Arabidopsis thaliana: one gene and its partners. The protein of the gene in region 3 interacts with the protein of the main gene of each other region in a pairwise test. Each region holds a gene or a part of one and is shown on either strand. Other genes may lie near its edges.

Evidence for each region. The genes of interacting proteins can lie anywhere in the genome.
Region 1: the proteins of GRF3 (region 3) and NIA2 interact in a two-hybrid assay, tested with the Arabidopsis thaliana proteins (one study listed by BioGRID).
Region 2: the proteins of GRF3 (region 3) and FD interact in a two-hybrid assay, tested with the Arabidopsis thaliana proteins (one study listed by BioGRID).

The regions. Positions count from the first base shown.
Region 1 is NC_003070.9:14,156,835-14,162,451, forward strand, and holds NIA2 (nitrate reductase 2), read left to right. Parts: upstream 1-1,617; 5' UTR 1,618-1,782; coding exon 1,783-2,827; intron 2,828-3,013; coding exon 3,014-3,154; intron 3,155-3,250; coding exon 3,251-4,818; 3' UTR 4,819-5,104; downstream 5,105-5,617. UniProt on the Arabidopsis thaliana protein: Nitrate reductase is a key enzyme involved in the first step of nitrate assimilation in plants, fungi and bacteria.
Region 2 is NC_003075.7:17,002,747-17,006,821, forward strand, and holds FD (Basic-leucine zipper (bZIP) transcription factor family protein), read left to right. Parts: upstream 1-1,775; 5' UTR 1,776-1,999; coding exon 2,000-2,707; coding exon of another isoform or gene 2,708-2,734; exon of another isoform or gene 2,735-2,842; coding exon 2,843-2,920; intron 2,921-3,134; coding exon 3,135-3,206; 3' UTR 3,207-3,562; downstream 3,563-4,075. UniProt on the Arabidopsis thaliana protein: Transcription factor required for the transition to flowering promoted by FT.
Region 3 is NC_003076.8:15,407,953-15,412,110, reverse strand, and holds GRF3 (general regulatory factor 3), read right to left. Parts: upstream 2,428-4,158; 5' UTR 2,300-2,427; exon of another isoform or gene 1,962-2,299; intron 1,862-1,961; 5' UTR 1,835-1,861; coding exon 1,361-1,834; intron 1,283-1,360; coding exon 1,160-1,282; intron 1,073-1,159; coding exon 956-1,072; coding exon of another isoform or gene 952-955; intron 880-951; coding exon 826-879; 3' UTR 510-825; downstream 1-509. Other genes in the region: AT5G38490 (B3 domain protein (DUF313)), read left to right, coding at 1-243. UniProt on the Arabidopsis thaliana protein: Is associated with a DNA binding complex that binds to the G box, a well-characterized cis-acting DNA regulatory element found in plant genes. Involved in the regulation of nutrient metabolism. Reciprocal negative transcription regulation of miR396.

The DNA of each region.
Region 1 (5,617 bases), on a different chromosome or scaffold from region 3:
CATATGATTTAAACTTAAACTGTCTTTTTTACTTTTTTTTCTTTCACAGATTTAATCTTCATCTCACATCTCAAAAGATAAATTTTTATTCTGCAGTAAAAAATTCATTAGCAAACTCTCTTTAATTAAATATCAAAATATGTTTTTTAATGTAAAAATATTAATTAATATCTTAAACTTTGTCTTTTTAGTGAAATATCTTATATATTATAACAGAAGAAGTATATATATATATATATATATAAAAAAAATAAAGATGTATATTGGTTACCCAAAATTAGAAGTTCACAAGAAAATCAATATTCAATATTTACTCAATGAAATTTTCAACAAAAAAAAGTCTTAAATAAAGAAAGATTTACCCACTGAATCTGCTGAACCCGTGGCTCCGTCGGTTTTGATTAGTCACCGCCATTCTTTCCGAAGAAAAACAATAATAACAGTAATACTAATATATAGGTGGCTGTAATGTTGCATCTTGATCAAAAAGAGAAATAATTTTGTAGTTATTTTAAGGAAAAAGATGAACGTGATCATTTTCCATCATTCAGTTTTTTTTTTTTTTTCATTTTCCAACATTCATACATAGGTATTTTAAACTTTTAGATGATTCAAGGAACTATTTTAGGTTATAATAATGTATACAAAAAATTAGATTACTCAATAATTAATATCTCATCAATATTGCTGAAAATCACATCTGTTAATTTTATCAAAAAAAAATATTACTAAAAAACAGTTTAATAAGAAAATATTACTGAAAATAACGTTTAATAAGAAAATAAATATTGTATGATTATTAGATTTTTTCTGATAATATGTTTAATTGATTTATCAAATCTCAAGAATAAAAGGAACGTTGTTCCTATGTTTAACTGAAGGATATAAGAACATTGATAAACTTCTAAACTAGAACCAGGGGTAAAAGGATTATCAAATCTCAATAATAAAAGGAACGTTCTTCCTATGTTAACACATTGATAATTCTTTAATTTACTGGTAAAAAATATACGGTTTACAAAATATATATATATATATATATATATATATATATATATATATATATATATACGGTTTTAATAGTTACCGATCACAAAAACTATTAAAATTAATAGTATGAAAATATTATCACCACGATTTTTGTATTACTAATTTTATTGCTCTTAATTATTTTGTCATCTTTTATCGTTATTTTTCCATTAAAAATAAATACGGCTTTGTGTCACGAATAAGAAAACATATTTTTTAGTAAAACAAATTCGACTAAAATAAAAAGGAAAATGTTTTGATCACATTTTTATATTGTATTACAGGAAATAACCAATGATAGATAATAATATATTATTCAATTGTCATCATTTCTTAGTTGACAAAAAAAAATCTATACATGTTTCCGAGACGTTAAAAGTATTTACAAAACTACTCCAACAATTCACATTTGTTTTATAACAAATAGGGACAAAAATGATCATTTTAAGCTTATTGAATAACTATGATCGTTTATTTTTGTCAAACAAATGGATGGTTTATTTAATTAAGTCAAGTCATAAGAAAAAATTAATAGTAAGTGTGTAAGAAAAAAATTAAAAAGTCACAAATGGTCCCATACGTGTGATTCGGCACGATACTTCCTAAAAGCATACCACTAGGCTCTCTCCTATATAACTTCATCTCCACCAACGATGCATTTTCGTCCTCAGATCTCATCTCACTCACAAGAGAGAGATAGAGAGAGAAAAAGGCTCTGCTTTCTACATTATTTACGATTATACACTTTCCAACATGGCGGCCTCTGTAGATAATCGCCAATACGCTCGTCTCGAGCCAGGTTTGAACGGCGTGGTTCGTTCTTACAAACCTCCCGTTCCAGGCCGGTCCGATTCCCCTAAGGCGCACCAGAACCAAACCACCAACCAAACCGTGTTCTTGAAACCAGCCAAGGTTCATGACGATGACGAAGACGTGTCGAGCGAAGACGAGAACGAGACACACAACAGCAACGCCGTGTACTACAAGGAGATGATAAGAAAATCCAACGCCGAGCTTGAACCGTCCGTTTTGGACCCGAGGGACGAATACACGGCTGATAGCTGGATCGAGCGTAACCCTTCCATGGTACGTCTCACAGGGAAACATCCCTTCAACTCCGAGGCGCCTCTTAACCGTTTAATGCACCACGGGTTTATCACCCCTGTCCCGTTGCACTACGTTCGTAACCACGGCCACGTCCCTAAAGCCCAATGGGCCGAATGGACGGTCGAGGTGACCGGATTCGTCAAACGGCCCATGAAATTCACCATGGACCAGCTCGTCTCCGAGTTTGCTTACCGCGAGTTCGCCGCGACGCTAGTCTGCGCGGGGAACCGCCGTAAGGAACAGAACATGGTGAAGAAGTCAAAGGGATTCAACTGGGGATCCGCCGGAGTTTCCACCTCCGTGTGGCGTGGTGTCCCTCTCTGCGACGTACTGCGTCGCTGCGGGATCTTTAGCCGAAAAGGCGGCGCTCTCAACGTCTGCTTCGAAGGGTCGGAGGATCTTCCGGGCGGTGCCGGAACTGCTGGTTCCAAATACGGAACGAGCATCAAGAAGGAATATGCCATGGATCCATCAAGAGACATCATTTTGGCTTATATGCAAAACGGAGAGTATCTAACACCAGACCACGGTTTTCCGGTTCGGATCATCATCCCCGGTTTCATTGGTGGCCGGATGGTTAAATGGTTGAAACGAATCATTGTCACAACTAAAGAATCCGACAATTTCTACCATTTCAAGGACAACAGAGTTTTACCTTCTTTGGTAGACGCCGAACTCGCCGACGAAGAAGGTACATAAAATCTTTTTGCTTCAATAAATCTCATTAAGATGAACTAATTGATATGTTTAAAAAGTCTCCGAACCTATAGGAGAAAAACAAAAACAGAAATCATATTAAAAAATGAAAAACTAATGTTGGTGGATGATGTCAGCTTCTGTGACTTACATAAATTCAAATTCAATGGTTTTGTTTTAGGTTGGTGGTATAAGCCAGAGTACATAATCAACGAGCTAAACATAAACTCCGTGATTACGACGCCATGTCACGAGGAGATTCTTCCCATCAACGCTTTCACAACCCAAAGACCTTATACTTTAAAGGGTTACGCATATTCCGGTACTTGTCCTTTTAACATTTTAATTTAATAAATACGTTATTTCATAGGATGATTTAATTTAATAGTAACAATAATCTTTATACAAAAAAAAACAGGAGGTGGAAAAAAAGTGACCCGTGTGGAGGTCACGGTAGATGGTGGAGAGACATGGAACGTATGTGCACTTGACCATCAAGAGAAGCCAAACAAGTATGGGAAGTTCTGGTGTTGGTGTTTTTGGTCACTTGAGGTTGAGGTTTTGGACTTGCTTAGTGCCAAAGAGATTGCTGTTCGTGCATGGGACGAGACTCTCAACACGCAGCCCGAGAAAATGATATGGAATCTCATGGGGATGATGAATAACTGCTGGTTTAGAGTGAAGACTAACGTGTGCAAGCCACACAAGGGAGAGATTGGGATTGTGTTCGAGCATCCAACGCTTCCTGGTAATGAATCTGGTGGATGGATGGCGAAGGAACGTCACCTCGAAAAATCGGCTGACGCGCCTCCTAGTCTAAAGAAGTCTGTCTCGACGCCGTTTATGAACACAACTGCGAAGATGTACTCGATGTCCGAGGTCAAGAAGCATAATTCGGCTGACTCTTGCTGGATCATTGTCCATGGACATATCTATGATTGTACACGATTCCTTATGGATCACCCGGGTGGTTCGGATTCAATCTTGATCAATGCTGGTACGGATTGTACGGAGGAGTTTGAAGCCATTCACTCGGATAAAGCCAAGAAGATGCTTGAGGATTACCGTATCGGTGAGCTCATCACCACTGGTTATTCCTCTGACTCTTCCTCGCCTAACAACTCGGTTCACGGTTCATCCGCCGTGTTCTCGCTGTTGGCTCCCATTGGAGAGGCGACTCCGGTTAGGAACCTCGCTTTGGTTAATCCCCGGGCTAAAGTCCCGGTTCAACTCGTCGAAAAGACTTCCATTTCTCATGATGTTCGTAAATTCCGGTTTGCTTTACCGGTTGAGGATATGGTTCTAGGCTTACCGGTTGGTAAGCACATTTTCCTTTGCGCCACCATCAATGACAAGCTCTGCCTCAGAGCTTACACACCAAGCAGCACCGTTGATGTGGTTGGCTACTTCGAGCTCGTGGTCAAGATTTACTTTGGCGGTGTCCACCCAAGATTCCCTAACGGCGGGCTCATGTCTCAGTACCTAGACTCTTTGCCTATAGGGTCAACTTTGGAGATTAAAGGACCATTGGGTCACGTTGAGTATCTCGGCAAGGGTAGTTTCACGGTTCACGGTAAACCAAAGTTTGCTGATAAATTGGCAATGTTGGCAGGTGGAACCGGAATAACTCCGGTTTACCAAATTATCCAAGCCATTCTCAAGGATCCAGAGGATGAGACTGAAATGTACGTCATTTATGCTAACCGGACCGAGGAAGATATTCTCCTAAGGGAGGAACTGGATGGTTGGGCAGAGCAATACCCGGACCGGTTAAAGGTTTGGTACGTAGTGGAATCAGCTAAGGAAGGTTGGGCATACAGTACCGGGTTTATTTCCGAGGCGATTATGCGAGAACATATCCCTGATGGATTAGATGGCTCAGCCCTTGCCATGGCTTGCGGACCACCACCGATGATTCAGTTTGCGGTTCAGCCGAATTTGGAGAAGATGCAATATAACATCAAGGAGGATTTCTTGATATTCTAGTCTAAAGCCAAGATATTTCAAAGTCAAAACGTTAAGTCGTCAAAAAGCCTAGTGTTATGATAGATTCTAAATAAGTATTGAGGGATTTGTTTGTATATAATGTTGGTTCTTTAAAGTCTTGGATTTGGAAATATAATGTGTTCGTTGTATTCACGATCGATATTTTTTTTCACAATAATATACAAAAAGTAATTTCAGAAATTTTTGTGGTTAGGTTATCGTACATTGAATTTTCTGCGTTTACTTCACATTATGAATATCAATTTGAATATGTTCATTTTTTCATATGTCTTTGTCGTTAAAAAATAAAATAAAAATTCTACAGCTATTAGACACCAATAATCATTTTCAAAGAGAATAAAGCCAAAGCGAAGTAGTTTCCTGTTGTGCAAGTTGAAACCAAACTCGTCCATTAGTTCCTATATTAATCTTCACCACATATATGATTTAAGATTAGGGGGAGTGAATTTACTTTTTTCATTTGTTTTATTAACTTGTAATTTAGAAGACTCTTCCTTTTTGGGTGATTAGTTTAACAATATATCAATCGTTTGAGAATCTTTAGAGTTTTCAGTTAATATTCAATTTGTTCTTATTAAAATTGTACATGTTTATAAAGTATGTTTCTAGCATCCAAACTCTTCTCCATTACAGGATTAGAATTTTAATACAGCATCACAAGTTATGTTCTAAGTTATCCAAAAGGAACATCATATCTATATAAAAATAGTGTGCTATTAAACCGATAGAAAATGTTACGATATATATATATATATATATCTAAATAAAATCATATATC
Region 2 (4,075 bases), on a different chromosome or scaffold from region 3:
ATTTGAATTCACTCGTTACAGACTATACCCCAACTTTATTTTGAGTTTATTTTGCAAAAATGATTTGAGACTGGGAAAATTTGTTTTATTTTCGTCAATGAATATGCGTAGTGACGTCGATACTAACAAAAGTACTACTCTTTACATTCGAATTTTTGGTGGTTGCGAAACGACAACAAAGATCTATGAAATTTGTGTTTCACATTAAAAACTCAAAATGTATTTTGAAACCCAATGTTTGGAAACATGTAAACAAATTAAAGTCTTTGTACTTTTCACCAACAAATGGAAAATATATATCTTCTAACAAATATGAGTATTTGAGGAGCTTGCATTTTCGATAAACAGCTCCTAATGTAGTACTCTTTGCATGTTCAAAAGATGGGACGTTTCCTTGAGGGCTGATTTCAACATTCAGAGAAAAAAAATTATATACATGTACGGAAATGAATAGTTAATCTTGTTGAATAGAATAAGAGAAGAGGAAAGAAAAACAAATATCGTATGTTATTATAGTTTATATATAATCAACTTGCAATAAAGGAAAAATTTGAAAAGCGTGACTAGATATGCACTTGGAGACTGACTTACATAGTAGATACGATAATCGAATATCTAGATATCTGGATGGTACTCATATTATTTGTTTATTACGTATGATCAAAGATTTATTAATATGTATCATCTTCTACTTGGCTTAATTATTAACTAGTTTAGTATTCGTCTCTAATCTTCAAAACAATCAACATAAATATCTAAACTATATTGGTCATATAAAATCTAATACTTTACTATCCACTTGTAATGTTTGTTTTGTTCAGAGTTGGAGACCCACATAAATTGATTTCCCTATCCGTATTGTAAAACAGACTATTGACACTTTGATCAAATCTCGTTGGATGACATGAACACCAATGATTTGAAGTGGGGAACAATTCAATAGTTAACAATATTTTTGTTATTTAAATGCATTTCAACTATACGGTCGATATTATTTGAAATGTTTGCAACTACATATTTAAGAAAACGTTAAGTGCAAATGACCCGTTCTTAAACACTCCGAATCTCATATAAAATAAAGTTTTTTTGTACTAATCAAACATATAATTTTCAGACTTTTAGTTTTGATAGAAACAAATTACATATACGAACACCCAAGTACTACTTTTTATATTCGATAATATTATTCTATCTTCGTTTAAAATATATTAACCACATCAAGAAAAGAGGAATGAAATATTCTAACGGAATTAATGTTTGCTGCCAAAAACAAAAAAAAAACAGAAGAAATTTTTACATTTGAGTTTATTGGTATAGTAGTTAGGATTTTGTGTTTTATTATATATTTAAACGAATTTATTTAATTATTTCTAATACAGAAAGATGTATATATTCTTATCTACTTTCATTTTGTTTTTAATGTTTTATTTCGTCAATACCCTTAGGGGAAAAAAGTGTATTTTGGCAAATTTTCCTTAAATCTAAGAGCAAGAACAAAAATTAAAGTCACACATGAAAGTTGAAAGTGATCCAAAGGGATTTGATATTAGAAAATAGAAAGTGAGATAAAACCAAAAATAATTTTATATATTTGCCTGGCTTTTTACAAGCATCTCACCCCCACTCACTCTTTACATTTAAGGATGATGAAAAATACTTCACTTTTGAAATAATCAAACACCATTTTTAATCTTTATAATAACTCTGACGTTGAAGACATCAACAAACACCTTTAATTACATATAATAGTTTATGGAATTTCTCTTCTTCTTCTTGAAATATATTATTTAATTGGAAATAGTTCAATCCCTCTGTCTCTTCTTCTGGAGTCTTGGACCCAACCCCATCATTCCAGAAATGACCGGCTAAAGTCAAGAACCTCTCTCTGAGCTCTCACCACTTTCTCTCTCTACTCCCTCTCTGCGTGTAGGATACTACTAGACAATTGACAACCAAAGACTAAAGCTGTGTTGTTGGTTCACTTCTGTTCTCTTTTCCAATGTTGTCATCAGCTAAGCATCAGAGAAACCATAGACTCTCTGCTACAAACAAGAACCAGACTCTCACCAAAGTTTCTTCCATTTCATCCTCATCACCATCGTCTTCTTCTTCATCATCATCAACCTCATCATCATCTCCTTTACCTTCTCAAGACTCTCAAGCCCAGAAGAGATCTCTTGTCACCATGGAAGAAGTTTGGAATGACATCAACCTTGCTTCCATCCACCACCTAAACCGACACAGCCCTCATCCACAACACAACCACGAGCCAAGGTTCAGGGGCCAAAACCACCACAACCAAAACCCTAACTCAATCTTCCAAGATTTTCTCAAAGGATCTTTGAACCAGGAACCAGCACCCACAAGCCAGACCACGGGTTCTGCGCCTAATGGCGATTCCACCACGGTCACTGTTCTTTACAGCTCTCCTTTTCCACCTCCTGCAACTGTTCTGAGCTTGAATTCCGGCGCTGGCTTCGAGTTTCTCGATAACCAAGATCCTCTTGTTACCTCAAACTCTAATCTTCATACCCACCATCACCTCTCAAACGCTCATGCCTTCAACACCTCTTTCGAGGCTCTGGTTCCATCCAGTTCTTTTGGTAAGAAAAGAGGCCAAGATTCCAATGAAGGTTCAGGGAATAGAAGACATAAGCGTATGATCAAGAACAGAGAATCTGCAGCTCGTTCCCGCGCTAGGAAACAGGAATGTGCCTCTCCTCTTCCCTCCTAATCTTCTTCTACTCATGTGTATCAAAAAGGGAAGAAAAGAAATGTGGTTTTGCCATCAAATTGCTTTTGATCTAAAAAAAGGTCTCTTGGTTTTGATTCTCATTTGCAGGCTTATACAAACGAGTTAGAACTTGAAGTTGCTCACTTGCAGGCAGAAAATGCAAGACTCAAGAGACAACAAGATCAGGTAAACAAGCAGAGCCAAGTTCTTAATGTTTTACCCTTTTGTAGCACTCATGTCATTAGATCAATTCCTTGTAGTTTAACCAACTTATAAAAAGAGACAGACAGACAGCCTCTGGAGTATATTTGTTTTACACACTTTTTTGTCCAATGACATTTTGGGTGGTTAGATTCTGATACTTCAGTTGTGTGTTTATTATGTGTGTGTGTGTGTGCAGTTAAAAATGGCTGCAGCAATTCAGCAACCCAAAAAGAACACACTTCAACGGTCTTCCACAGCTCCATTTTGAGAAATCTACAAGTCCTTGTTTCTCTTTTGGGGATTGAGATTGTCTCATGAAGAAGTGAAAAAATGGCAAAAGTTTGTACCCTTTTTTATTAGCTATAAGTATAACTAAGCCTAAAATTGTAGAACTAAGATATTGTAGGGGAAAAAAGAAGATGTAAAACAAAAGACCCGGAAAGAGAAAAGGATCTTTCAATTTCCTAAGGCACAGGAACACCTGTCCTGGGTCCTCTCTTAATGTTCTGTCGTTTTCCTATGCAAACCCTTTTTTCACTTCTGTACTAACTTCTACTTGTATTCTTGTTGTAGTAATGTTCTACTTCCTCTTCTAATACTAGTAAGAAAAAAAACCTTATGTTTTACTGTTTAACCAATTTGGTTCTTAAAAGAAGCAAAGGATCAAATGACCAATAGACAAAACAGTGCTCCACTTAAATGATGACAATACCAGAGAAAAGTGAGAAGGGGACCTATCACTGAACATTTAATTTTCTCCCTATCACATTATCACATAAATATCCAATCCTTTGGCTGTCTACCATACAAGCCAACAACTTGCAATATGATTTTGAAACCTCCAAGCCAATGGGAATTAAGTTCACCACTTTTCGGGTTGGTCAAGAGAGAACATGATAAGTTTCTTATTCAGCATGGTCACTCCCCACGTTTTATTTATATTCATAGTACATAGTATTGTAGCTTTTGCTCTAACTGGTCACCATCAAAAACACTAGGTGTGTTTGTATTCATTTGGTTTATCAAGAGAATAGTTTTTATCTTCTTTTGGCCCAATTTCATTTACCTGACAGTGATAAGTCTTGTTGATCCACTTTTGGTTGTTGATATATTGCTGTGTATTCTTTTAAGCAACCA
Region 3 (4,158 bases):
GAAGAAGACGACGAGAATATTGGTGTGGGAACGGTTCTTGTGAACCAAAGATTTCAAAAGTGGGGTTTGCGTTTCAAGATATGGGCGATGGAGAAGGACTCTGGACATGGAACATTGAATTACACTTTGAATTGGGGTTGGAATGATGTCGTCAAAAGTAGCAGCTTAAAAGTCGGCGACAAGATCAGCCTTTGGACTTTCAGGTGCCGTGGAGTCCTCTGCTTTGCACTTGACACAGAGTAGCTCTTCACTTGTTCACTAGCTTATTCAGTGATTTTGAGTTTCAGTAACTTATTGGAAGTGTTAATTAACAAGATTAGGATTTTGGTGTGGTTCTCTCCTTTATTAGTAGTAACTTGTCTGTCTCCTATGTTATCTGAGATCTTTTACCATTGTTTGAAATGAAATATTTTGTTATAAATATGGTTTCTTGTTTTCTCTACTTTAGTTACCTTTTATTTCTTGTAATATATTATATCAAAGTATAATGTCATGGAAGTGATCCATTTGCAGCAAGTGTTTTCGTACATTAATTAATCAATTTGAGAAAGTTATCACACTTTTTTAGTTGATCAAATCAATAACCAAAAAAATAGAAAATAAAGACAACTACCATATCAGAAATAACCAAGTTTTGATTTCATTAGAAAGGAGAATAGGAAATATTGAGGAAGCTAAAGGAGGAATGATAAATCGCAAGTAGTTTCAAAACAAACAAACAACAATAAAACTGTGTCTCTTATAAGAATCCTGAGCTATCCCTCACTCAGATTATCACATGAAAGTTTTCTACCATTATAAAATGACTCTTCCTCTTCTTCGGGTTTACTCGGCACCATCGGGCTTTGATGCCTCCTTAATCTCATCTCCTGCTTCGTCCTATTCACCAAAAAAGAAACCATCATGTCAACAACATAACTTAGTGATCAACGTATATTGTGTTGTTAATACTTACAGTCATATCTGAAGTCCAGAGAGTGAGATTGTCTCTAAGAAGCTGCATAATCAGTGTACTGTCCTTGTATGATTCCTCACCCAATGTATCTAACTCAGCGATTGCATCATCAAACGCCTGCACAAACCCAAAATAGCTGTTTCATTCACTGAGATAATAATAACACACGAAGCAAAAAGTGAAAATCAGGTGTACTACACAAACCTGCTTTGCGAGGCTGCAAGCACGATCAGGCGAGTTGAGGATTTCATAGTAAAACACAGAGAAGTTGAGTGCAAGACCAAGCCTTATCGGGTGAGTAGGAGCTAACTCAGCAGTGGCAATGTCCTGCATTATCACAACAACAAAATCAATCATACCCACAAAAGAAAACAACATTCAAAAACGTTGTAAAGAATGACTTACGGAAGCAGACTTGTAAGCAACCAAAGTGCTTTCAGCAGCTTCTTTCCTTTCAGCACCAGCCTTAAACTCAGCAAGATACCTATGATAATCACCCTTCATCTTAAGATAAAACACTTTAGATTCAGCTGGTGAAGCAGAAGGAATAAGATGAGCTTCAAGAACATTCAAAATCCCATCACAGATTTTGCTAAGCTCGGATTCAATCTTTCCTCTGTAATCCTTGATAATAGCAACATGATCTTCGTTCCCTTTGCTCTCTTCTTTCTGCTCAATCGAAGAAATGATTCTCCACGAAGCTCTTCTCGCTCCAATCACGTTCTTGTAAGCAACAGAGAGAAGATTCCTCTCTTCAACTGAAAGTTCCTCAACATCAACAGTTTTCGCAACTTTCTCCATGAATTCAACCATTTCTTCGTAACGTTCAGCTTGTTCGGCTAATTTCGCCATGTAAACATTCTCTTCCCTTGTCGACATCTTCGATTCAACAATCTAGAGCAAATCCTACAAAATCAGAACCCAAAACATACACACATTGATACATTTCTTCACCGATTAAGAACATAGAGAAAATAGGCATAAACAAATGAGTCGAAACAATAACCTAATCATCTAGATTAAGAACACAATGAATCTTCTTCATAGGTGACGAATCTAGAGAAAATTCTTCAACGCGAATCCGAAGTAAGATCTACATACTCGTCTATGTTCTTCACGGATAACGAATCTAGAGCAAAATCGTTCAAAAGCAGAAACAAAACCGAAACCTAAATTTTAACATCCTACACACAAATCGGATTTAGATATCAAACACACTGAATCAGTGATAAGAACAGAGAATCGATGAGATCGAGATCTCCAGAAACATACAATCAAAGATCAGATCTACACGTAGAAGAAGAAACTACGAAACGAACGATGATTAGAGAGAGAGAGATTTACCTTTCTTTTTTTTCGATTGAAGAGAAGATCTGATTCGAATTTTGCAAGTGGTTTGAAAAAATGGAATAAGAAGAGACTGATGAAGATACAATGAGAAATGGAATGATAAATAAATAAAAACTGTTTTCGAGGCGTAGAGTTAAGAGATCCAATGGAAGGTTGACAAGTGTTGGATGCTGAAGATATGACTGATGCATTGAATCTGACACGTGTGTAGCCATGCTAGTGTTGAGATCTGTTATTTGAAATCTGATAAATGGGCCACTGGGCCCAACGGGTATTACAGTATTACAACTTGAGATAACTATATGATGTACAGGACGGTATTATGGGCCTTTAGATTTAAGTTAAATCTATAATTGATCTTAAACAGACTTTTTACATTGTGTATATTTAGAGCGGTGTATTCAATCTAATAATTTATGTAAAATTTATAAATTTTATGTTATTTAATTATGGATTTTAAATTTTTAAATGAAATTGAGTGTTATTAAATTAAAAATTTAAAAATCAACCTTTTTACTGTTACTGAAAATAGTTAGTGGATTTGATTCTTATTAATTTTGAAGGATTTGAAAGGATTTGAAAAGACTTCTTTAGTTAAAAATACAGAAATCTAAATCTCATAGTTTTAGATAGAATTTGAAAAGACTTTACAGTAAATCACATCAACTTACCTAAAATCATCAAAATTATATAAAAACTCACTTATATCTTACCAAAAAATATGTTCTTTAATAATTCAGTACCTATATTTGTCCTAGGAAAGCAAATTCTAGATTAGAAAAATAAATTGAATGATGTATATATCCAATTTAAACTCATACTTTAGCAAAAAAAACATCTCATGTAGCACATTAGCTAAATTTTCTTTAAAAATCAGCATTTTCAGGTTCAAATTCCCGTAGCGGAAAATCTTTTTTTTTTAAATTTAATATATATTTATTTTATATCCCGCTAAGTTTCTTTTTAAATTTTTTTTGGTTTTAAAATAAATAAATTGATCTATATATCCAATTTAAATTCATACCTTAGCAAAAACATATGCACTAGCACATTAGCTAAAATGTTTTTTTGAAAATAAGCATGTCCAGATTCAAATTCCGGCAGATGATTTTTTTTAAAAACAATCTAATATATATTTTCATTTTAACAGAAAATCTGTTGGATTTTTTTTTGATAATCAAAATTTTTGAAAAATCTTTTGGTTCTAAAAATAAATAAATTGTTGAAATTATTTAATTTAATGAAGGCTCCTATCACAACACAAACTGTCATACCTCTTGAAATCCAAGATTAGCAGAGTGGATACGGCATTGTTAAAGCACTGAACGCTATGGAGGCCTCGTCCTTATTTACACAAAACAGTTAGCGAAAAATTCCACTAAGTATTGAAAAGAATTTACCTGAAGTACAACCACACTAGAAGAAAAACTGAGAAGTCTCCTCACCACAAAACTTGTAGATCGAACGAGCTTCCGTGCCACTTTGATCATCAAATGTAGGGTTATCGAATGAGTTTTCTGACCATGGGATGTCCACGTCCAAATAATAATGGTTGGGTTTTGGTGAAGCCCAAAATTAAAGTGTTTAAAATGGATTACAAACCATATAAGCTCGCTAGTAAATGGGCAAAATTATTTAGACATAATTTGTGCAGTAATAATTAAAAGCTAGGGTTTAATTATTTAGGGTAAAATTTTAAGATTTCTCATTTCTCTCTCGATTTGAGACAATTTCAGAGACGATTATGACAGATCTCAAAGGCTCACTGGTTCCACCATTATAAGTTCTTCATGAGCAACTTATATGTCTTTATGTTTGTGTTGATGTGTTAATTGATGATGGGTTTTTGTTGA